Linked DNA regions of Rattus norvegicus. The protein of the gene in region 6 interacts with the protein of the main gene of each other region in a pairwise test. Links are inferred from orthologs where the notes say so. Each region holds a gene or a part of one and is shown on either strand. Other genes may lie near its edges. The genes, in order: Atxn1, Zcchc10, Hnrnpf, Hnrnpul1, Zfp24 and Dzip3.

Region 1 (4,182 bases), on a different chromosome or scaffold from region 6:
TCGGTGACTCTGTACGCTGCTTCAGATAGTGACTAACTGTTAGGTCCTACGTAAACTGAGCCAAAAGGTCTCTCAAATCCAGCTACAGTCAATAGTAGTGGCTTCCAGCGAGACCAAGGGATCAAGTTTCCAGACTCTTAGTTTTAAGCACCTGAAAGAGGTCAGATGCTGGCCTGACACCTACTGGTCTTCAAGAATTATCTGCAGCAAAGAGATCGCCACACCGAGCGACCCTCCTGGGGAGGTGCGGGCTCTTCCTTCGGATGCCACACCTGTTGGCAAGGTGCACTCCTCCGGAGAAGATTCCTTCCCACGGAGCTCACACCCGGCTGAGGTGTAGCCGGAGGGGGCGGGTGGGGACTCCGCGTCTGCGTTTAGCCACCGGGCCAAGGTGGGAAGTTCTTTCGCCTTGGATTCCCGAGAACCACCATCCACTGCTCAGTGCACGGGTTACCTCACTTGAGATGAGATGAATGGTCCACAGTTAGCTGTGAGGAGTGAGCAGCAGTTCGGTTACCAGGGCTAGAGCTGAGACGTTCGATGCTCATAGCAGATTTCTAGACCAGCAGAATTTGAAAGGAGGCCCAGGAGGTCGCCAGCTTGTCCAGGCAGGAAAGGTGAGGGTGCCGGTGCAAGCTGGGGAAGCCTGAGAACTTTCCGGAGTTGCAAGCCAAGGCAGAAGGCACCGGCCTAGCATCGGGTGGCTCAGGACTGGCGGGCTGGCTAGTTAACCGCGGGGATACAAAGAGTCCTCTTAGATGCTCACCAGGGGCACCCTGGGTGCTTCGTAATTAGAATCAGCCGACTTCCCCGCCCCCTTGGGTATTTTACCAGGTGGGAGTCAAAGCCTGACACCCGTTGCTCTGAGTCTCCCAGGTTGCCTGAGTTGCACCCTGCACTCACCCTGTCCCCCTCCAACTAGGTTGCAGGGAGCCGGGGAGGCGCGCGAGCACCGATCGGTCACCACTCCAATGACCTCATCGCCCCAACTTCCCCGCCCCTTTCTCAAACCTGGAAGGCACAGTTCCCTCCGGTCGGTGTCCGGGATCTGGAGTCGCAGTTGCGGAGAGACACCCGGCCTCCCCTGGAGCGAGCGCTGCCCCAGCCCGGGTGCATAGAAGGGTTAAGGGCGCGGGCCGGCAGCCGCGCCGTGCGCTCGCCGTGCTCTGTGCGGCTCGCCGGGCCGCCTGCCAGAGGGTGCCTCTCCCCCCCCCCCCCCCCATGAAGTCGGATCCTTGAGCTGCGGCGGCGGCAGCCAACTGCTCCATATTTGGCTTCTATTACACATTTACATACTGGAGCGAGCGAGCGAGCGCGAGAGAGAGCGCGAGGGAGGGAGGGCGGGCGGAGGGAGGAGGGAGGGGAGGGGGGAGGAGGAGGAGGAGGAGAGAGCAGAGTATACCGCAGACATCATTTCTACTACAGTGGAGGAGCCGTACAGGACCTGTTTCACTGCAGGGGGATCCAAAACAAGCCCCGTGGAGCCGCAGCTAGAGCTACAACAGCCGCAGGACACTGTGTCTCTCCCTCTGTTCCCCCTTCCCCACGCAACCCCAGATCCATTTACACTTTACAGTAAGTGGCTATTTTTTTTCCTCCTCTGATTCTTTCTCTCCCCCCTCCCCCTCCCCCCGATTTAGATTAAAATCACCTCCTCCCGCACCCCAATCCGCTCTCTCCGGAGAGGGGGCCAAAGAAACATCCAGCATAAAACCCCCCTCCCCCAGTCTCAATGGGCTGCACGGAAAACAGCTGGAAGAGGAGCGAAGGAAACCGACGCGTCGTGGTGTGTGTGTGTGTGTGTGTGTGTGTGTGTGTGTGTGTGTGTGTGTGTGTGTGTGTGTGTGGTGTGTGTGCAGGCGCGCGCGAGTGTATGTGTGACTGTGTACATACACCAGTGCCCGGCTCCTGCCTCCCGGCTCGGGACCCCCACTGGGAGCAGGAGCGGCTAGCAAGGGGAGCAGCTAGGGGCTGGGTGGGCGGCCGCCAGGAGAGGGGGCGCGCCCGGGCGGGGGGCGCGGGTGGGGAGAACGGCGGCGCCCCGCTCCGGCTGCTGCTGGTCCGGCGGCGGCGAGCGCATAGAGCCCCGTCCTCCTCCTTCCGTGTGGCGTAGGGGGAGGCGGCAGCCGCGGAGGGTCGCGCTGCCCTCTTCACTCCTCAACAGCCCCCCTCCCGAGTGGGGGCGGCGAGCGCTGCGGGGGCTCGAGGGAGGGCTGGGCTTCCCCGCCCGGGGTCGCCTAGCTTGAGAGAGGCAACCCCGAGCTTGGGGTCTCCCCGCCCAGGCCAGCGTCTCGGGGCCAGGAGGGGACCTAGAGGGGACTTGCAGGAGGCTCGGGGGCGCGGAGAGGTGGCGGCTCAGGGGGCAAGGGCACGCGGGCCATCGCAGCGCAGTGGGAGAGGCGACAGGGACCGGCCCTAGCTGCAGCCGCCACCGCCGCCCTGTTGGTGCGGCCGCTTCCTGATCCAAAGCAGCAGCAGCAGCAGCGGCAGCCGCCGCCACCGGAGCTGGAGCCGGGAGCCGGGAGCCGGGAGCCCGCGAGCGCCCCAGCTCGGCCCGGCGTCCCTGCCGGCGCCCGCGGCAGTAGCGGAGGAGCTGCGGGCGCTGCCCTGCGCCGGGACTGCTCTCCTGCGCGGCGGCAGGGAGGGTGAATGAAGACGGGAGGAGGGGAAGGAGGAGGCGGCGGCGGAGGAGGCGCTGCGGGGATTGGGATGTGCCCCGGAGCCCCGCGGCTCGTTCACTCGGGGCCCGAGACGCCGCCACTGCCCGGGCTGCCGCCGCCGCCGCCGCCTCCTACGTGGTTGCAGCCGAGCGCGCAGGCCAGTCCCGCAGGGGGTAGGGAAGGGGCCGGACGGGCGGAGCGAGAGGTGAGGCGGGGTCGGAGAGCAGGGAGTAAGTGCGTGTGAGTGTGTAGGTGCGTGTGTGTGTGTGTGTGTGTGTGTGTGTGTGTGTGTGTGTGTGTGTGTGTGTGTGCGTGCGCGTGTGTTCGCGCGCCGGGCGGGGGGCCAGGACCATCGCGATGGGGAGTGGGGTCCACAGTGGTCCCTTAGCTGACTCTGCAGCCCTTCGACCTCTCTTTAGCCACCTCCTTCAACTCTGTGGCTTGTGAGCTTTCATTTTATTTCAGACCACGTAGAGAGCTGACTGCAAGCGGTGAAACAATTCAGGTTTTCTAGAGAGATTGAGCAAGGACCTTAGTGGTGGGGGGTGGAAGTAGGGTGCTGGTCTAGACTCTACCAGGGGCGCCGGGTGGGGGTGGGGGGCGGGGTGGGAGAATCAGGGTTCTAAGACGAAAGGGTTTAGTTCGATCCCGTGGCTGTCCTGTTTTGTTTTTGCTTTCTTGCTGTATAATCCTACAGATAAGAGGGTAATATAAATACTTGGGAAGGTTGGGAAATTGTTGAAGAGTAGTAAGGGCGGAAAAAAAAAGAGCCAGTCGGAAGCTGGTTATATAATGCGCTATGTGGCTAACAAGAAAGGCAAGCTATTTTTATTTTGTTTACCGTATGTTGTGCAGTAGGAACTCCTCCAAACTGGTTCTGTCCCCGAAGAGATTTCTTAGTTTGTCAGAGAGAGAGTCACAGGATACAATTAGTAAAATTAGAAGACCCCACACCACCTACAGAAGAAAAAGTAATGCTTTAGAGCTCTCACCTCACATCCTGCCTGGCATGCAGGGGAATGTGTGTATGTCCTATGTTTCCCTGTAGCAATCTAGTGGTGTCATCTCAGTGACATTTCTGTTTTATAATGCGAGCTCTTCTTAATATTTAAACAGCATTGCTATAGATCGTAGGCAACAAGGTAGTTACAGGCTGGGTATTTTTAGGTACAGCTGGTTACTTTTTGCAAGAGTGTTTGCTAAACCATTTCTGTGTGGCTTTTTGAAGAGCCCTGTCATTCCTAGAAGCCCTCGTTAAGCCTAAACCTCTGGTTTATTGATGGTGGGTGGGTAGCTGAGACAGTTTGATAGCCGAGGGTTTTATTTTTATTTTTATTTTATTTTTGAATGAAGCTTATGCCAGCGGAAGCTAGAGGTAGCCACCAGAGAGAGGAAAAACATGCACAAGCCCTCTTGGAAAGGGATTGCACCATAACAGCTTAACTGTGGCATTTAATCTCCTCTGATTGTCCTCTAACTGGCCACGCATCAGTCAATATTTTAGCAGCTTTGCAAATAAGTG
Region 2 (4,028 bases), on a different chromosome or scaffold from region 6:
TTGGAGAAACGGTTTAACAGTTAAGCACTTGCTGCTACTGCAAAGGATAAATGGTTTGGTTCCCAGATTCCATCCGGCGACTTATAACCATCTCTCCCTCCAGTTCCAAGGGGTCTGACACCCTCTTTTGACTTCCGAGGGCACCAGGGACACACATGCTGTAGAGATGACAAGCAGCCAAAGCACTCACACACATAAAATAGCTTTTAAAAAATGTTTCTAGGGGTTGGGGATTTAGCTCAGTGGTAGAGCGCTTGCCTAGCAAACGCAAGGCCCTGGGTTTGGTCCCCAGCTCCGAAAAAAAGAAAAAAAAAAATGTTTCTAAAGACTGGCACATAGAGAGGGATTGTCGGGCTTTGTGGTGAAACTTTTGCTTGGCGTACGTTACTCCTCGGTTCAGCCTTTGGAAATATTATATAAAGAAGAAAGTTAAGCTATTTTAAAGCTAGACACAGTGCACTCCTGTAATCCCAGGATCCTGAGGGGTGAGGCAGGACTGAGAACAGAGTGAAATGGAGATCTGTGGTAAACAAAACGGATGGGACAGGGAATATGATGGATGACCAGCCAGAAACCAAAAATACACAATGGAACTGTATACTAAATCTAAGAAAAATATTTAGCAAAGATGAAGATAAACCTGTTAAGAAAAGCAATACAGGCCTGGTGAGATGGCTCAGCGGTTAAGAGCACTGACTGCTCTCCCAGAGGTCCTGAGTTCAATTCCCAGCAATCACATGGTGACTCACAACCATCTGTAACAGGATCTGTTGCCTTCTTCTGGTGTGTGTGAATAAAGTGATTAAATAAATCTTAAAGAAAGGAAGAAAAAAAAAGAAAGAAAGAAAGAAAAGCAATACAAGTGTAGGCCTTTAATCCTACCACTCAGGAGGCTGAGGCAGGAGGATCTCTATGAGGTCAGCCTGGAGAAACCCTGTCTTGAAAAACCAAAAGGAGAAGCAATATGAAACAAGGAAAGACTCATGACTTTTTTTTTTAAAGATTTATTTATTTTATTTATATATTAGTACACTGTAGTTCTCTTCAGACACTTCAGAAGAGGGCATCAGATCCCATTACAGATGGTTGTGAGCCACCGTGTGGTTGCTGGGAATTGAACTCAGGACCTCTGGAAGAGCAGTCAGTGCTCTTAACCACTGAGCCACCTCTCCAGCCCGACTCATGACCTTTAAGTGGAAAACACTCCTTGTTTTTGTTTTTAAGACACGGTCTCTGTTGTCGACCTGGATGGCCTTGAATTCACAGTTCCACCTGCTTCTGCCTCCTGAGTGCTGGGCTTAAAAACGTAATCCACCAATATCTGGCCCAATATTCAGGTTTTTAATTAATAAATCATAGCTTAGGTCAGGAGCAAGAAAGTTCAAAGCATGCAGGTACTAGAGCCATAAACAGTGTTTTCCTTTCAGTTTCGTATGACTTTTGATAGGTTTCAGAAACACAACATGCCACCTCACAGGGCCATACAGAGTGGGTGTAACTGGAGGGTTTAGTTTTAAGATGAAGTCTTCCAGGCTGGACTCAAATTCACGTTCAATTACCCAGTCTCGGCCCCTTAAGTCGCTTACACCACTGAATGGGTAGCTACTGAGTTACTTTGTTTTTTCTTTTTGGAGACAAAGTCTTCCTATACAGTCGTGGCTAACCTGAAGTTTTGCTATGTAGACCAGGCTGGCTTTGACTCACAGTATTCCACCTGCTTTTGCTTCCCTAGCTCTGGGATTTAAAGGCATCTGCCACCAGGACTGATAGTTACTGAGATTCAAAAAAAAAGGTAAAAATATTTATTTAAGCTGGGCATGGTGGCACATGCCTTTAATCCCAGCACACAGAAGGCAGGCACCTATCTTGAGTTTGAGGTCAGCCTGGTCTACAGATATTCCAGGACAGCTAGGGCTACAAAGAGAAACCCTGTCCCTAAATCTCCCCCCACTTACCCCTAAATTCTAACAGACTCAAAGCAATTATACCACTGTCTATCTTTCCCCAAATCCTCAGGTGACTCTGTCCTTCCTATGGCTTTTAGTCTGTCTTCTTCAAATGTCACCCCTCCGCAGATGCGTTTCTAACCCAACTAACTTGAAACGGGCCTTTCCCTTTCCCCATTACAACCTCTTACTTCCTATAAAGCTTAATTTTGTTTTGTTTTTCGAGAGACAGGGCTTTTCTATGTACCCCTGGCTGTCTTGGAACTCACTCTGTAGACCAGGCTGGCTCCGAATTCAGAAATCCACTTGTCTCTGCCTCTTGACTGCTGGAAGCATCACCATCGTGGTGCTTCAACAAAGCTATTTAATCCACTAGCTGTACTTGTTTAGAGTACCAACAGGTTCCACAACAAAACTGTAAGCTGCGTGTCTTGAATACATTTTCTTCACACTGAAACTGTCAAGGAATGCTAGTACTAAAGTAATTACTGAGAAGACCGCAGAAAGTGAGACGGTAGATGGGAAATGAATAGGCATTTAAGTTAGGTTTGTTTCTAGGAAAGGCGATAAGAAGGAGGCGGGAAACGCAGCAGAGGGAAAAGTTTGGATCCTTGAAAGGGAAGATGTAGGACCGTGCATCCAGGCTACCCTTGACGTGTGGAACGGACAGAGGGACACAAACCACCCAGCGACCAGCTCTTGGATTCATTTCGGACTCCCTTCAGAACCCGCTCAGTCCCGCAACGGCACTGGCTACCGACCGGTGTCTGGACGCCCCCAGCCCTCCCGCAGACCCCACTACGCGTCTTACTCACGCTTGCCGCCGAGCTATAAGCCGATGCATGGGAGTCGCCATCTTGAAGCGGCCGGAGTCTGCCGCACGGGTTTTTGGGAAACTCAGACGGGTGGGCGGGCCCTTAACAACCTCTGAGGTTCTGGTCGGGGCCAGAGGAGCTCATCCCAGTAGAGGCGACTGGTGGCCTCTAGCTGGTTTGTTGTCTTTAATGCGGGTCTTGTGTTGAGTATGAATACGGCCTCGAAGGGTGATCGCAAACGAGGGATCTATATAGAGTAGGATTTTGTAGTATCAAAAATCCTGTAAGCATTTTGGAGACTGAGGCAAGAGGATTGCTACGTGTTCAAGGCCAACGTGGAAAAACATATAAGGCCCTAGCTCAAAAACAAAACAAAAAAGCCAGGCAATAATGGCCCGTATCTTTAATTCCAACACTTGCTGGGATTTACGGCCAGCCTCGCCTACACGGCAAGTTCCAGGAAAACTAAGGCTGCACGCAGAAACTCCGTCTTAAAAAGCAAAACACCAAAAGCCACAAGAAATTACAGGTGTCAACTTGATGACTGGATCACGCTGGTTTGTTTTGTTTTGTTTTTCCCTTCTGTGAAAGATCTGTGTAGAGGAGTTTTTAATCCAGCAATATGACTGTTCTGGAAAGGGATCATAACTGGCCGGAATACAGACACGTGTTCCAGGCCAGCATGGTACAGAGCAAGTTCCAGGTAAAGAAATTTAGAACCAGGTGTGGCAGCACATGCCTTTAATCCCAGCACTCAGGAGACAGAGGCATGCAGATCTCTGAGTTCTAGTCAGTTTGGTTGAATCAGTGGCTTGAGAGCAGGAGGGGTAGGGAGAGGGAAACAGAGACGGAGACAAGATGAGCGGGAGAGATGGAGAGACAGAGAGACAGAGACAGAGAGGGAGCGAGCAGTTTTACCAGGACAGTTTTACAGAGACAGGTTTCAGTCTGAAGACAGAATGAGTCAGAGAGAGAGAGGGACCAGAAGATTAGAACAGATTGCCAGAGTCAGTTTGAGGCCAAGTAGAGCAATTCTGTCAGAAGCTGAGAGAAGCAGGTTAATGCGTCAGCTCAGAGAGTTTAGGCTGAACCAACCAGCCAGAGTTCAGAAAGAACTAGAAAGGATGGGTTTATTCAGTAGCAAACCTCTGAGATGACAATTACATCTGGTGAATAAAAGATACATTCACAGCTCTGATGGGACCAGTATTGGCCTCACTGTTAGTATTATTAGATCTCTCTCTCTCTCTTTTAGATGTGTATGGAT
Region 3 (4,048 bases), on a different chromosome or scaffold from region 6:
AGTGCCTTGCCCCATTTTTTCTGGGCCCTCAAAAAAAAATGAGAAGTGACTGGATTATTTCAGAGGCCAATTGCTTTGAATTAAGATTTGTGGTTGCCTGTTGGGTGTAGATTTTATAAGGTTCATTTTTTAAAATATTTATTTAACGTATATGAGTACATTGTAGCTGTCTTGAGATACACCAGAATCTGTTAGAAATGGTTGTGAGCCACCGCGTGGTTGCTGGGAATTGAACTCAGTGCTCTTAACTGCTGAGCCATCTCTCCAGCCCCTATAAGGTTCATTTTTATACATATGGGCCAACTTAGGTTTAAAAGTCAAGCACTCCTTCCACTACGGCGATACTAGGGATCCAAACCTAGTCAGCCTCTAGGGCTCTGAGGGAACTCGAGTAGTCCCGGCAGGTCTCGAAATCAGCTTGGCTCTGCCTCCAGAGTGATGGTATTAAAAAAATGTATGTACCATACCGGTCATTAGTTTATGTAAAAAAATTTGAGACAAGGCTAAATGATGGGATTAAAGGCGTGCCGCCACCAAGTCGAGTCGGGAGTTTTTAAAAGTTAGGTTATCGTGGAGTCGGCGGGCAAATGAAAAAAGTGTAGAGTGTCTGCAGGTTTCCATTCTGTACTCCGAGTTGATTTGGTTTTACTTGGCTGAGTCTGTCAACGCTTCGTTGCATTCGCCTTTCCAACTGTAGCGGGTAGTCTGTACTTTGCTCAGGTGGCTCCTTTACCCAGAACTCAGCGAGGAGTCTTCCCCTTTCCTTTCCCTCCTTCCCCCACTTCCGGCGCCGGCCAAACCCACCGTTCGCGGGCCACACCTGCAGGCACGCTTTTCTCATTGGTGACATATTGGCGGGCCCGGCAGGGCACTTCCTCCTCTACACCCCGTGACCCGAGTCCGACTGCCGCTGTAGATCACGCGGCTGCTGCTTCCCGGACTCCGGACTCGAACGCCCGTCTCGGCGTGGTGAGCCCCGCTTCCCGCCCGAGCCCCAGGTTACCGGCTGCGTACTTGACCTGCTCACCTTAGAAGTTTCCCTCTTCGAGCTTTTCCACGCTTCGGCCTGCGCGAGTTCTTACTCCAGCCCTCTTCCCCGCCCTCTGGATCTTCCCCTCCCCCACCCTCCGAGGCTCAGGAGCCTCCCTTCCCCCCGCCCCCGCCCGGAAGCTCCCGCCCGAGCCCGCGCAAGCCCCGGGGCGGACCTTCCTGCCCGGCCGGCGCTCGCTGCGCGGCGCGGTCGACTACCGGGCGAAGGCCGCGGAGCAGCGTCACCTTGCCCTCCGCCCTGCTTCCCGCCAAAACGCTCGTCTCAAGGGGCTCCGCTTCCGCAAAAGCGTTTCCCCTGGTCATTTGAACTTCCATTTCAGGTTGAGAACAAAAAGAAGATGCACCTGGACTTTCCCCGGAGCCCTCTGCGTTTTTAAGGCGTCGGGTGGAGTTGGGGTTCGTAAGCCGCGTTCGTTATTGAAAATAGAAGTCACTTCTACCTTCCTCCCGTGGTAAGTTTCAGAGCAGAAAAAGGCAGCAGCTTTGAAGCCGCGGCTCTCCTGGTCTTAAGAGTAGAACTTTCTGAGTAAGAAAACCTGCCTGGATGCGCTCCCGGCGTTCCGGAGGTTAAAACTCATTTACAAAATGGAGGGAGGATGAGGGCGGGCTCCCAATGAAAACTCCGGCGACTTCCTGGAACACAAAGATGCATAGAGGAGGGTGCAGCAAGGCTCCCACCAAGCGGGCCTGAACAAAAGAACTAGGTGGGTGGCGCTTGAGCCGCCCTGTTTGTTCAGCCGATAAACTTAACTAGTCCAGGATTCAGAGGGCGCACCTCTTTTATCTTACCTGGATCTACCTGAAGGCAGTGAAAATCCAGTTTAACCAGTATCACTGACTGGGTAGCTTGTTAGAAAAAAGTCTCAGCCTGTTTGTTTATTTTAATAGTGCATTTTCTTTAGTGTTTAACTTGTGGAAATGTAGGCCTAGCCTGGCTATAGTATAGGAGTCAGTCGCCCAAAATGATGCAAATGGTTTCAGTAGCGTGTCTTGCAATTAAAATCAAATGTCTGGGTGTTCTAACAGTACTTACAAAGACCCGCCATGCCATCTTCTCTTTTACTGGGCATGTCTCCACAGTTCACATGTTCACGGGTCTCGTGCCAGTGGCTTAATGTAGGTCTAGCTGCTAGCTGCATGCAGTATAGTGTCTCCAGGGAGGCCCACAGGTATTGTCTACCACACTAGAAGTAAAAGGTTGGAAAAAGGGGATCGAGTCATTAGAATTTCATGGACAGGAATATGGTTGAAACTCATTAAAGTGAAGCCCTGTTTCAGGGTCTTTGAAACTATTTTCAAAATGGGTTTTTAGCACCGACACCCCAATATCTTGCATAATTTTGGAAAATGAGACAATGCAACTGCAGTTACCCCTATTTTAAGACAACAGGCAGAATAGCCTACCACATTTCCAAAACGAAGAATGCAGCATAATTTGTCATAGGATTCAACCCCTTTCCTCACCATTTGGGAGAAGCTTTGTCACATAGGTTATGATAAAGCAAAAGGCATTGGAGACCCTTCCCCACCTCCAGCATGGAGAAGATAAATAACAGGAGTGTTTTTTCATTTCCAGAGGAAATTCATGCTGGCCTGGATGCCTATGCTACTGAAAGGGTTGGAAGTCTTGGCATAAAGTGCCCACTAGATCCCTGCTCTATTTAAATTTTAAGTTTCTCCTACATTTAAACTAAGCTTAAATTAGTTCTGCTAAGTTGTTTGCTGATGTCCTCTACCCATGAAAAGATGAAATATAAATAACCAGGAAACCTAAATATGTTGGTCCTAGGGCTACAATGTATTTCTGGATTTGAGAAAGAAACTTAGCTTGCTCTGAGCCTAGCTCCCAGGAGGTCCCCTTCTGTACGATGATGAATGGAATCTGAGGCCACGAGACCAATCTTGGGTTTTGTGTTTGTTTTTATTTTTTAAGGAAAACTTGTTATCTTCCATTCTGTGTTTCCTACAGAAGGCATCTGTGGTGGTTCTTTAAGGTAAGCTACTAAAAGATACATTTAACTGTAAGACGATTAATTTGTTAAGCAAAGTTTAGTTTTCTTTGAAGAACTGTCAGTTTTAAATGCTTGGTGAGTTTACAGTTAAGTCAAACTAAAGAACTATGAACTTCTTGGGGGGGTGAGTAAAAGCAAGCTGTAGGTGTTGGTTGACATGTTACAGAAAAGAATGCTTTCTTCCCCTGTTGCTGAAACTGCTTATAAAGTACTTGTTCCTTATGCTTCTTACATGTTTTTAGCTTTGACTAAGCTGCTATACTCTGAAGGAAGGTGTTGACCCTAGGTGGACAGTAAATCCCTAGCTAATCCTTGACCTGCTGTGGTCTGTTCCCTCTGCTAAGGATGAAGTATTGGACAACAAAATTGTCCTAAGTAGGGTCCCAGTGTAGTTTTGAAGACCTTTTAAAACTACAGAGAAGGTTGTTATGAAAGTAGAAAGTCAGACTTATTGTGGGACGTGAGAAGATGTTATTGGAATGGTAGTTGCGCTTAGATAACCCAGAGGATTATCAAGGTTTAGCTGGACAAGGTTGGGCAGAGGATATTTGGGTGGAGAATTATTTGATGTGTCAAATCCTCCAGGGAACAGTGGGGAAATTAAAGGAACTAAGGAGTAAAAAAGAATGATGGATATAGATTAAGAATGTCTGTAGGATCCAAGGATTCTTTTAGTTCAGTCTCTGTTCTAATAACCAATGGGAAATAGGGCTTAGAAGTGGGGCATTGACATAATTGGGTTACAGTTGTTAGATAAATCTTAAGATTGTGATAGAGTAGCAGGGAGTGTAAGTGTTTTCATTAGAGTTAAGAGACGCTAGGAATATAGGAGTCAGGAATTTTGAACGAGTCCCTGTGGCAACACAAGGCTGCAATTCCATCTACCAGGAGGTGGTGAGGCAAAAGGTCTTAAGTTTATTATTATGGTCAGCCTAAGCAACTAGACACACAGTTGAATCATTTAAAAGTGGCTCAGAGGATTTATG
Region 4 (3,500 bases), on a different chromosome or scaffold from region 6:
TGGCAGCCAGTAAGGAAGGAATACTAGGGAAAAGAGAACTCCACTGTGCCCTACTCACTGAGCTTTTACTCAATGAGAACAAGTGAGTGCTGTCTCATGTACCCACCTTCGGTCCTCTCGGTGCTCGAAGTACCCACGGCCTCGATTCTCCTCAAAAGGCCTCTTTCGATTCTGGAACTGTGGCCTGTCTGTCTTGAGCTGCGAGGCTTCAGGGGGGAGGAAGCTGGGTGGGGCTTCCTGCTTCGTTTCTGTCTTCAGTTCTACTGTCAGACGCATCAGGATGGTCAAGATACTTGGAAAAACCCTCAGGTTCTCCTACCCCTGATGCTGGCAGGCTTGTGACTACAGTGAAGGGTTGAGCTCTAAGAGGCCTAGGAGTGAGCCAAGGAGGCCAGAATAATATGAGGCTGTGCGGGTGACAGTCTGCTGGCCAGGTGACACCCTTCCTTGAGATGGTGCCCTTCAACACCAAATACAGTCAAGATCCCCCAAATGACCCAAAGGTACAACAAGAGTCTTTGGCTAACGTTCTGTCAGTTCATGAATGCTGACAGTAACCTTGGCCTACACTGAGAGGGAGTGAGCCCTAAGAGACTATAAAGATCCTGTAAGGGGTTGGGGATTTAGCTCAGTGGTAGAGCGCTTGCCTAGGAAGCGCAAGGCCCTGGGTTCGGTCCCCAGCTCCGAAAAAAAGAAAAAAGAAAAAAAAATCCTGTAAACTCTGAGAAACAAGAGTTAAACTGTCCCCTACCCTCACCTCCACCTCCACCTCATTATTGCAGAGCTTCTTTCTGACAAAGGTAGGGAGGAAGTGAGATCAGCAGAGCACTGTGGGTCTACAGTAAACTCTTCTGGCTTCAGCCATTTTCTACAAAACCCAATTGGCCAAGTGGGCAGACCAGCTGTTCTGGCAGTCTGTTTCACCATACCACATCGAACAAGATGTTATGGTGGGATAACATACAGGACCTGAGAAAGCCCCAGTCAGACAGATCCCATGAATGGATGACCAAAAAAGAGCAAGCTGTGGACCCATGCTGCCCTACTTTCTGAGAGGGTGCTAAGAGGGCACCATCTCCACCTACTGATGCTGATGTGACTCACTCATATCTGCTCATCCCAGCGCTCGCTTCAAGTTACTCCCTAGCTTTGTCATATGGACACAATCCCTGAGGCAATTTCCCTGGTTTTCCAGGGCATAGATTGGGTTCAGTTATTTTGATGGCCGCCTCCATGACTTAAGCACAAGTCAGACTCAGAGGAGGTCACTGGTGCTGGGTACCAGTCAAATGACCCCACAGTCTGACACAAACCTACAGTTTAACTGACATTCCTTAATGTCCCTAGTCTCCCCTCTACACACACACAAACCAGAAAACAATAACTAACCCGGCAGGGGATTTTATTTTGTGAATGAAGCAGAATGGAATTGGACAGGATCAACTAGATTCATGAGCAAAGGCACTGGAGCTGGGAATAGTGATACACATGAGTAATCTAGGCATTTGGGAGACTCAAGCAGGAGGATCCCAAGATCTACAACAGTTTAGCACTATAGTGAGACCCTGACTCAAAAAAACAAAAACAAACAAACAAACAAAAACCCAACAACTTCTTTTTTGGAGCATTAACAGTTATGGGCCAGCCATTTTCAACAGCAGGATTTTCCCCCCTAAACAGATTTACATGCAAGAAAATTAAAGCTCATGTATCATGAACACTGGTCTGAGCCAGTTTCTTGGGTTTTAGCCTCCGTTTTGCCACCACACAACATGTCCTCACATAAGACGGGGAGAACCTATGTTTCCCTGCTTATAGAAAATGCTGTTCTGGGGCTGGAGAGATGGCTCAGCGGTTAAGAGCACCCGACTGCTCTTCCAGAGGTCATGAGTTCAATTCCCAGCAACCACATGGTGGCTCACAACCATCTGTAAAGAGATCTGATGCCCTCTTCTGGTGTATCTGAAGACAGCTACAGTGTACTTATATATAATAAATAAATAAATCTTTAAAAAAAAAAAAAAAGAAAATGCTGTTCTGAAATAATATAGGCATGTGCTTTAAAAATCCTGAGTTTAAATATACAGTATGAGGTTTATTTCAATCTTGAACTTCTCTGCTGCCCTTTCCAGCTGTATCTGGCTAAAGAACCCCTTTCCAATGAAAGACCCTTTCCTAGTCTGCTGGAGCATCATTTTCAGAACAGAGGCAACACCATACTGGATTCAGAAAGCTCTTTTTGGCTTCTGCATGGTAAGACTCTAAGGATAAAGCATTGGCACCCTGGTCTAAACTCTCCAGATGCTAGCACTAATACCTAGAAAGATACCAGAAATCCAGACTGTGTTACTTCTTCAAAACCAAACAGAACTAACTGGGAGGGAAAGGAGGCAGAAGGATCAAGACTACAAAGCCAGTCCCAGTTCCTTTTTGAGTTTAAGGCTAACTTGAACAACATAGTAAGGATGCTATCCCAAAAATAAACCAAAACAAAAATAAAACCCTGAATCCCAAATAGCATAAAATCTAAATCTCAGCCTAAACAAACAAACAAACCCACCTTGCCTGAAGGACAAAGGCCAGAAGAACTGCCCAAGAGAAAGACACAAGGTCTTAGATTCTGTTTCCATCAAGGAAGAAAGTGTGGGAGCCTTCCTACCTGGGCGATATGCTTGCTGTGGTGGCTCCATGTCTAGTGGTCTCCTATCATAGACAGACTCATTTTCTTGCTTGATGACCGGTGTCTCGTAGAATTGGTTCTGTCTGGTAATATTGTCCATGACATCTTAAGATTAAAAAACAAAAATCAGTTAGATTAATGCATTTGAAAGTACTCTTGTAACCAAGACATTGTCTTCACTCAGGTGAACAGACTATCAGAAGTCAGAAGTCCACCTTTAAATGGAAACCTATTTAGCAGTAGATTCCCCACTTCCTATGGCTATGTCTCTGTGTCTCAGAAGTCTACAAACAGATCCACGCCAGGCTCTGTAGAAACTGAATACATTAAACTGACTGAGGAAGAAGTCCTATGGGGAAAACAAGATTGTAAAGTCAAAGAAATAAGTCCAGCTTGATTTCTCTAAGCAATACATCTTTAGAGTAGCTTCTAATCTGGAACCTAAACTTAGAAAAACAGGAGTTACTCTAATGATGTACCATTCATTGAGTAGTTAACACTAGTCTCTAAAGTGAATTGCTTAGAATTGACTTCAGGGCCCCGTCTTCAAAACTTGGAGCACAAACCAGTTCTCTGAACAGTTCCACTCGTCTGTGACTTAAAATACTCCTGCCTGCCCCTGCCTTTAGATGTGCTTATGATTGCCAGCACAGGCAATGCAGTGTACAAACCTTGGGATCATAATGGCCTCCAGACTCACTAGGAATAGGTCCCCAAACAGCTGGAGCTAGAAGTGGTTAGGAAAAGTGTTCTGTGGGATCAGGAGGTGACGAAGAGGTATAAGAATAGCAATAGTAACTACTTATGGAATGCATGCCAT
Region 5 (4,297 bases), on a different chromosome or scaffold from region 6:
CTGCCGGAAAATCTCCGGGTCAGGGAGATGGTTCCAGGAAATGCTCGATCCTTCTTCACCGTCAGGATCCTCCTCTAGTTTCACTCTCAGAATTTTTTCTTCTTCATCTGGATTTGGGATGATAAGTATTGAATCTTCTTCCACTGACTGGGCAGACATCCTGTTACAATACCTCCAAGAAAAGGCAACTGAGGCAAGGTACAGACCTCAGAAATACCCTGTTTTCCTCAAAAGTACTCCTAAGGTACAAGAAATAAAAAACACATAAATCACCAAGTACCCCATGATATTCGAAAAGCAGAAGGAAAAAAAAAGAGATACATTGCTTTACTTGATTAAAACTTGAAATCAATAACTTACACTGACTGAAAGTCTGCCATAGCTGGTAAACCACAGCCTATTTACCCTGCTGCCTGCTACACCATCCGTAGAGAAGTAGTGTAAACGTTTTAATGACTAAAAAAGTACAGAAATACTTCATGCTGAGAAAATATGATGTGTCTGTCTAGGACCAGCAAGGTTACTCATCTGGCAAAGGCCTGATGACTTGAGTCCAATGACCAACATGTACATAAGAGAAAAATTATTTCTGCAAGTCTGGTCTTCACAAGTGGGACAGACAGACACACACACAGAGACAGACAGACAAACACACACACAAGATGTAAAAATGTCTTTAAAAATGGTTTATGTACACTGTTTTTGCTTGCATGTATGTCTGTGTGAGGATGTCAGACCCCTTAGAACTGGAGTTAGAGACAGTTGTGAGCTGCCATGTGGGTGCTGGGAATTGAACTTGGGTCCTCTGGAAGAGCAGCCAGTGCTCTTAACCACTGAGCCATCTCTCCAGCCCCATTAATATGTTTACATTTTGTGTATATAAGTCATTAAATTTAATCGTGGTTTGGGCTATAATGTGGTAGAGTTGACAGTATTCAATGATTTCAGCTAAGATCTAAAACAATGTAATATTTACCAGCTTGCTCTTTTTAGGAAAAAAAAAAGATTGCTAATTTGTGACATATAGTCTACAAAGGGTAATTTAATAGCCTACAGTATCTGGGTAAGATGCAGTCTACCTCAGTGTTCTCCAAACGTCCTGAAGCTTGGGACTGGAGAGTTGGTTCAGCAGTTAAGAATGCATTCCCCTGCAGTGGACCCTGGTTTGTTTCCCTGAACCACAAACTCCTCTCTCTTCTCACCTCCTCAGGCACCAGGCAAACACACAGTGCAAATATACATAAAATAACAAACTAAGTATTCAGAACAGTAGGACACATAAAACATGTTTTTTGACATTTATTTCGTGTTGGAACACATCAGCACAGGTGTGGAGGTCAGGGGACATTAGTTCCCTCCTGCTATGTGCAATCTGGGATCTTGGGAACAAGCCCCCGACCTGATGAGGCACCCTACTTTTCATTTTTTGCAAACCTGGAGTAGGAAATAGATCAACCGTTCTCCCAGTTAGAATCCCCCAGAATGAGAGACTATCCTTACCCATCATGCTCTACTGCTGAGCTAATCCCCAGAATTGTCACAAATACTCTAATGTTTGTTTAGGAACTCCCTAAACTTAAAATATATGCGAAAAATGTTCACTAGTAGATAGGTATGCGCCCAAAAGCCCAACATTGTAGGCTTTACATGCAGAAGCAAGATTATGGTCATCCATGTGGCAAAGCCAACCTGGGCTATTAGATCTTGTCACAGACTTTCTTTTACACAGTTCAGTAACAGATCATATAACACTGGGGAAGGAACTATTTCACATAACATACAAATGTTACTCAGGCTTCCACCACACCATACATACATTTAAACTTACAGTGACAAGCTTCAACCACAGCAAATTCTATTAGGAAAAAGCACTCACAACTTCTCAGTGTACGGGAGTCTTTTCCCTGATGAAGCTTCCCCTAACTTTTCCTTTGGGGAAATCTGAGCTACTTTCTGATGCTTTTGGAATTTGCAAAATCATAGCCGTGCCACGGTTTACAGCACATAAAGAATAATAAGTTTACGGCTACTGTTTATTAGAGCCAAGAACTTAAGAGACAGAAACTTAAGAAAACCATATTGAAACCGATCAAGATGAAGACAAAAGATCAGAAAAGGCTGTCTCAAACTGACAGGTCATATAGACACTCAGGAGTGGGATGGCCTGATATCAAAATCTAAGTTCTTATTCCTGGACCCGATTCTATCAGCAATCAAGCATTTCTATGTGATAGAAACTGCTTTTTCTTTTACTTTGTACTGCACCAAGCTCGTGGGATGTGGAGGAACGCCGTCCGGCACTCGGCGGGATCCTGGTCTTCAGCGACCGCCCGCCTCACAGCGCTGAGCCCAGCCTGCCCCAGCAACTCGGACGTCCTCTTCCCAGCATTCACCAGGAAGGGCTGCAGAAGCCCCAGAACCACCCCGCCACACAGGACAGGCACTTCCGCCCGGGACCGGCGGGACTACAAATCCCAGCAGGTCGCGCGCGAGAACGGCCGGATCCCCCCTCGGCTTGAGCGTCTCCCAGAATCCTCCGCGAGCCGCTAGAGCCTCGAAATAGAACAAAACCGGCCCGTGGGGGAGGGGAAAGCAGGCCGGAGAGGATGCGGGCGCTGGAGGCTCTGCGGACCCCCGAAGTGCCGCAGGTCGCCGCCGCCCTTCCGCCGCCGCGGCCTTTTATGCGCACGCCCGGAATGCTGAGCGTCGCCGGCCTCTGGACCCTTACCTGAGCCCCCGCCTCCTCGAACCCTACCCCCGCGCGCTGCTGACCTCTGGCTCGGGACCCGCCACAGCCTCGTCGTCCCGGGCAGACGCTGCGCCGCCGCTTTCAGCCGCTTCCCACAAGCCCCCGGCGCGCACGGCTTCCGGTCCGCAGGACGGGGGGGGGGGCGGGAGGGAATGGGGAAGCCGAAGCCCGGAGTTGCCATGGGGACGCGCGGTGAGCGGGGGAGGTGCCGCTTGATGACAATGGCCGCATTGAGGCTGCGCTTGGCCTTGCGCCTCTCACTGAGTGACTGTTGCTCTCTGTTCCACTTTAGAGAAAGGAAAGGGGAGCAGGAGGAACGTGGGCGGCAGTTTCACAAGTGCCCGGTGCTCCTCGCCGGAGCCCTCTGGAGTAACTAGCTTACTCCAGAGTTCTGAAACGTTCTGAAAACGTGCCATGATCGTGTCAGGCACCGTCGCTGTACAATACGTGTAAATCGTTTTTCTTTACCCGCACATCTTTACTTATTGAGCCTTTGGCCCTGAAACAAGGTTTGCCTCTAAACATGCCCCAAACCATTGTCTTCCACTACTGTGTTTCAAAGATTATGACAGATTATCAAAGAAACAAGATAGTTGAGACCTTTGTCACAGAGAATTGCAGAATATACTCATGCTGGTTGTTTGATGCCAAAAAAAGAGCTGCAGTCATAATCACTTAGATTGCCTCATTTCCCTATTTAAAGTGGATTTCAGCTACCTCAACTACCTTGACATTAAATAATTGTTACGTTGTTCTGTAGGCCATCTCTGGTCTGTTGCCTGCCTTTGCCTTCTGACCATGCGTGACTTGGACTTATTGTACAGCCTCAGCCTCACTGACCAATGAACGCCCTTTCCTCCAGGTGGCCTCAAGATGCTTGTGGACACTCTGAGAAGTGATCGCATTACTTAGCTGTGCTTTGTTTGAAAGTCTTGTAAAAAGTTGGGTCCTCCCTGTCCCTAGTTTCAGGATGCTGGCTGGTACATAGAAAACTCAGTAAGCACACTTTGAATAAATGCATCAATTGTGGGCTGGTCACATTGCCTGCGGCCTTTGCTAGGTCACATGTCAAGTCTCGGAAATCGCACAAAAGAGCTCTGTTTTGGAAAAAGTCTTGTTAGAAGCAAAGGTCAAGTTTGCAGAACACTTAAAGGATCCTCAAGCCTTGCCCTATTGTCTCATTCAGAAGGGCCTCTGCAAAGTGTCCTGGGCCTCTGCAAAGTGTCCTCGGCCTCTGCTTGTTAGTGAATGAGAGAGCAGTAAACAAGCAGCTCACAGAATAGCAAGACTTCCCATTCCAGCCAGAGCTCACCTTCCCACAACCCCTGTAACTTTTCACTCTTCACTGTGAGGTTTTAGTACAGCCTTCCCCCATCTCCTGTTTGGCTGTAGACAGGATCCGGCTTGGCTGTTCTCTGCAACCTTTTTGTCTATTGTGATTCCGAAGAGCTAACTCAAAGCATACTTTGTTTTGTTTCTTTAAGAGATTTTATAGCAAGTTAATACTGAAAAACATAATAAACCCACTCAAGTAAAAAATGTGACATT
Region 6 (4,245 bases):
AAATACAAACGATTTTTGGATCTGTGGAATACTTACATAATTGTACCTACACATAATATAAATAGGAGTCCTGTTAGTACATGTAACCTGAATGAATTGCCCTGATTGCTCAATACTCAGCAAAAGCAACCAAATGGACTTAGAAGATAGGCACTTGTGACAGCCATTCCCAGTTGTCATCTAGACTACATCTGGAATGAACTACAATCCAGAAATGGAGGGCACACCTGCCCAGATCTGGAGGCTGGAAGACACAGTCTTCAGAGCCAGAAATCGACATGGGATGACATGCTTTTGATATGCTTTTGATCCAGATCTTGAGGCATAGCAGCCATGAAAAGCGTAGGCCCAGATTGAGGTAAATCTCCTGAGTTCAAGGCCAGCCAGGAAAGAGCGAGTTGCAAATCCAGGTGTGATGGTACATACCTTTATGGTCTATACCTTTCACTGGAGGCCTACATAAGGACAACGGAAAATGGAAGCCTCACTCTTCTTTGCCTGCTTAACTTGCTAGTTGGAACCTACTTCTTCAGGATTCCAGTTTATACGGAAGACCAGCTGAAACAAACACTCGTGGGAGTGTACAACTATGAGATTCTCGGACTTCCCATCCACAGCTCCCCATTGTTGGGTTAGTTGGAGTGCAGACTTAAAGTCATTACAATAAATCCCCTTAATGTACGGGGATAGTCCATAAGTTCGGTGACTCTAGAGAATCCTGACTAATACAGCACCTTAAAAAGATCAGTAAAACACACACACGCACACATACAGTGATCAGCACCTTAAAAAAGATCAGTCACACACACGCACACAAACACTGCGATCGCTTGCACCCTGAAGCCTCCTAGTTCGGGTCAAGACCACAGTCCCCTCCTGGCACTCACCCGAAGCGCACAGCATCACCAGTGCAAGGACAGCGAAGCGGCTGCAGGGCTGTCCAGGGCCAGACCGCCACTAGCCAGCCCAACAATAACGGGATTACTGAAGGGGACACCCACTCGCGCCCCAAAACTCCTTACCTCCAAGTGCCTCAGAAGCTGAGTGGCGTTCGCCTCCGACTTAACGGCTTTGTACTGACTGATGCTCAGGAGCAGGGACTTCAAGCAGGCGGTGGAATCCATGCCGACGGGCTGGACTGTCAGCGACAACAGCCCAGCAGCTCGCCTCGGTATCCAGCTGTCGCCGCGCTTTTTTTGATTTTTTTAAGCTCCACCCCTCCCGCACCCGGCTGCTTCCTGTTCCGGTCGGACTCCGGAAGTCCCTGAGCTGTCTCCGGGACTGCTGCCTGTGATTGGCAGGGTGGGCCTAGGTTCAAGGCGCTGGGGTTGCGGGAAGGTGGCTGGGAGCCGCCCCCCGCCCCACCTCCGCAGCCCCCTTCGGCCGAGAGGCCGCGAGGTTTCAGCTGGAGGTCCGCGAAGACGCGGGATCTCGCGAGACACGCTAGTGCTGCTCAACCTGTGGAGGGCCTCTGGGATGCACGGGGGTCCCTGGGCCGCGCGGGCTCTGTTCCCCGGGCCTTTCCTCGGCCTTTGCGCTGCGGGGTCTGCTTTCCGTCTGTGCCTCAGCCTCAGCCCGAGACACGGTCGCTTCCCCCTAGTCTAGACACGGTGAGGAACTCAGAGCAGTATCTGTGGGGCTTAGGTTTGTCGCGGCGGGGGAGGGGCCTCAGGCTCTCCAGCACCGGTCCCTTGTGTCCACAGACGACTTGCACGGGGTGAAGCCTGTGGCGGCCCGGTTCCCGTGACAAGTTAGCCGTGGCTTTACAATACGATTTCTCAAGACTCGACAGAGAGAGAGAGAGCACCCCGGAGTTGCTCCCGAATGTGTTCATTCGCATCAGCGTTGATTTCTATAGGATAAGGGGTTTGTTCTTGTCTGGCATGATTATTTTGCACATTTCTGTGGCGTCAAAAAAAAAAAAAAAGTGACACGGTTGAGATTTTTTTTTTTAATCAAAGGTACTGTGCACGGATATATAACGAAGTGAGTCAGCAACTGGTTTAGGAGCTTAAGCTAGGTTGTGGAATATACTACATGCCCATTTGACTAAGAACGTCTGAAATGTGTGAATTTGGGAAACGCTTTTTTTTTTCTTTCTCGTTTGCATGGGTACCCTTTAAAGACGTCACCAATTTTGATATGAAGCAATAAAAGTAAAGCTAACTGATGACTGAAAATGATTGTGCTGTTGAGATGTTCACGTAAGAATTTGTAGCTAATGTATTCATTCGTGCATTCGTTCATTCCATTTTAAACAACTACATATAACGGACTAGGGATTGACTGTCACTCAGAACAAAGATGAGGATGTGCTGCCTGCAGAGAAGCAACCATCTAATAATAGTCTAAATTGAAAAGTACTGTTGTAACTCACTAATAAACGAGAAATGCATCATCAATAAAACGTAGAGCCAGTTTGCCTATAAATATTTTTGCATCTTTCTCTTTGTGTCTCATTTTACCGCTTCAATCTTTCCGTGAAGTGAAAACTAAGAGTAGTCTGTTTTACATGATAGTTTATTCAATCAATTCTTATTTGAGCTTCCACACTGGAATGGACACCGTTCTGGTCACTATATACTTAGTCTGTGGACATTGGGTTTAACAATCTAGTGATAAGACTGTAATAAGCCAAGGAGAAAAAAACAATCTAGAATAATGGTGATCAGAACAGGAAAAGAAAAGGTCAGAATAGACCTCACTGGAAAATTGTGTGCTCGCGCTCTCTCTCTCTCTCTCTCTCTCTCTCTCTCTCTCTCTCTCTCTCTCTTTCTCTCTCTCTCTTTCTCTCTCTCTCACTTTCTCTTTCTCTCTCTCTCTCTCTCTCTCTCTCGTGTGTTCTCTCTCGTGTGTTCTCTCGTTCTCTCTCTCTCTCTCTCTCACACACACACACACACACACACACACACACACACACACACACACACACACACACACACACACACACACAGAGTCTTGAGGAAATACTTTGATGTGTGCCAGGTGGAGCTTAAATTAGTTTCACCTGTTTTTAATGGCATGGAATTAGGAAACAAAATTACCTGTAAAATTAAGCTTCATAGCTTGTATATTAATAGAACTTGCATCAATAGAATAGCAAGTGTTGATTTCTGGTTTTCTAAACCCTTGTAGACTACATTTGAAAAATGTCAACTCTTTCTCCATATTTAAATTTTTATTGATATAAAGTTATATTTATTATTCCCTCAGTCTCTTATAATTTTAGATTTCCATTTTGACTCTAGTTTCCTTTGTTCTGCTTTTGAGGACTTTATTGATTTTTACTAACTTTACAGGCACTATCTTGCATTTTGTTAATACTTTTTTTGTTCCAGAATTACCAGGGTTTTTGTTTTTGTCTTTGTTAATTATGATATACACACAGTCATTACTTGTTCTTTTTCCGTTTTGTAAAAATTGGACGTGTAGTACATTTCTATAGGTGTATGTATGAAGATATATGTGGTTTTTTTGAGATTGAATCTCATGTAGCCTAGGTGGCCTTGGACTCACTACTTACTCAGGAATGATTTTGGACTCTTCTGTATTTCCTATCTCTTGAAAGTGCTGGGATACCTAGCATGTTCTGTTATATCAGCTTATAGTGTGTTTTCAATATTTTATGTCAAGAATTTTTAAAGACACTCGCTAAAGCAATGGTCTTTTATTTTGTGTTAAAATATGTAAAATCATATTAACAAGCTAAGTATTCATCAAATATTTCAAAGGGTTTGTCTTAGTTAAGGTTTCTATTGCTCCGATGAAACACCAAGACCAAAAACTACTTGGGAGGGCAAGGATTTATTTGGCTTATGCATTTCGAATCACAGACCATTGAGGAAAACCAGATGAAGGGGCCATGGGATGGTGCTGCTTACTGGTTTGCTAATTGTGGCTTTTTCAGCCTGAGCCCTCTCACAGAAGTCACTAATTAAGAAGCTACCTTATAGGATTGTCTAGTGTCCAGTCTTTCAGAGACTCAACTGAGGTCCTTTTCACATGACTCTAGGTTGACATAAAAACTAGCCTGGACAGAGGTTGAAGTCTGTCGGGGAGTTAAGTGTTACTAGGAACAATAGAATGTTACTAGGAATACATTCTAGATGAAAGCCAGTTTACTCATTCTTCAAGGATTAGCATAAAATCCTTCCTTAAGATTTTATTACTGTCTGTGGTTTACGTTTTGCCTAGTCTCTTGAATTTATAATGCAGGAAAGAAGCATGAAAGAAATAGTGCTTGCT

Evidence for each region.
Region 1: the proteins of Dzip3 (region 6) and Atxn1 interact in binary tests that used the Homo sapiens proteins (3 or more experiments, as listed by UniProt). The link is inferred for Rattus norvegicus from reciprocal best matches to the Homo sapiens genes DZIP3 and ATXN1.
Region 2: the proteins of Dzip3 (region 6) and Zcchc10 interact in binary tests that used the Homo sapiens proteins (3 or more experiments, as listed by UniProt). The link is inferred for Rattus norvegicus from reciprocal best matches to the Homo sapiens genes DZIP3 and ZCCHC10.
Region 3: the proteins of Dzip3 (region 6) and Hnrnpf interact in binary tests that used the Homo sapiens proteins (3 or more experiments, as listed by UniProt). The two-hybrid records come from large-scale screens. The link is inferred for Rattus norvegicus from reciprocal best matches to the Homo sapiens genes DZIP3 and HNRNPF.
Region 4: the proteins of Dzip3 (region 6) and Hnrnpul1 interact in binary tests that used the Homo sapiens proteins (3 or more experiments, as listed by UniProt). The link is inferred for Rattus norvegicus from reciprocal best matches to the Homo sapiens genes DZIP3 and HNRNPUL1.
Region 5: the proteins of Dzip3 (region 6) and Zfp24 interact in binary tests that used the Homo sapiens proteins (3 or more experiments, as listed by UniProt). The link is inferred for Rattus norvegicus from reciprocal best matches to the Homo sapiens genes DZIP3 and ZNF24.

What each region holds. Positions count from the first base shown.
Region 1 is NC_086035.1:18,942,387-18,946,568, forward strand, and holds the start of Atxn1 (ataxin-1), read left to right. Parts: upstream 1-1,382; 5' UTR 1,383-1,575; intron 1,576-1,632; exon of another isoform or gene 1,633-1,786; intron 1,787-2,723; exon of another isoform or gene 2,724-2,865; intron 2,866-2,901; exon of another isoform or gene 2,902-3,103; intron 3,104-3,263; exon of another isoform or gene 3,264-4,182. UniProt on the Homo sapiens protein: Chromatin-binding factor that repress Notch signaling in the absence of Notch intracellular domain by acting as a CBF1 corepressor. Binds to the HEY promoter and might assist, along with NCOR2, RBPJ-mediated repression. Binds RNA in vitro.
Region 2 is NC_086028.1:37,970,231-37,974,258, reverse strand, and holds the start of Zcchc10 (zinc finger CCHC domain-containing protein 10), read right to left. Parts: upstream 2,801-4,028; 5' UTR 2,791-2,800; coding exon 2,762-2,790; intron 1-2,761.
Region 3 is NC_086022.1:152,767,481-152,771,528, forward strand, and holds the start of Hnrnpf (heterogeneous nuclear ribonucleoprotein F), read left to right. Parts: upstream 1-1,248; 5' UTR 1,249-1,502; intron 1,503-2,983; 5' UTR 2,984-3,044; exon of another isoform or gene 3,045-4,048.
Region 4 is NC_086019.1:90,383,871-90,387,370, forward strand, and holds part of Hnrnpul1 (heterogeneous nuclear ribonucleoprotein U-like protein 1), read right to left. Parts: intron 2,786-3,500; coding exon 2,660-2,785; intron 264-2,659; coding exon of another isoform or gene 261-263; coding exon 107-260; intron 1-106.
Region 5 is NC_086036.1:15,579,162-15,583,458, forward strand, and holds the start of Zfp24 (zinc finger protein 24), read right to left. Parts: upstream 2,801-4,297; 5' UTR 2,729-2,800; intron 2,675-2,728; exon of another isoform or gene 2,254-2,674; intron 240-2,253; 5' UTR 160-239; coding exon 1-159. UniProt on the Homo sapiens protein: Transcription factor required for myelination of differentiated oligodendrocytes. Required for the conversion of oligodendrocytes from the premyelinating to the myelinating state.
Region 6 is NC_086029.1:65,284,745-65,288,989, forward strand, and holds the start of Dzip3 (E3 ubiquitin-protein ligase DZIP3), read left to right. Parts: upstream 1-1,445; 5' UTR 1,446-1,610; intron 1,611-4,245. Other genes in the region: Cip2a (cellular inhibitor of PP2A), read right to left, coding at 1,023-1,124. UniProt on the Homo sapiens protein: E3 Ubiquitin ligase proteins mediate ubiquitination and subsequent proteasomal degradation of target proteins.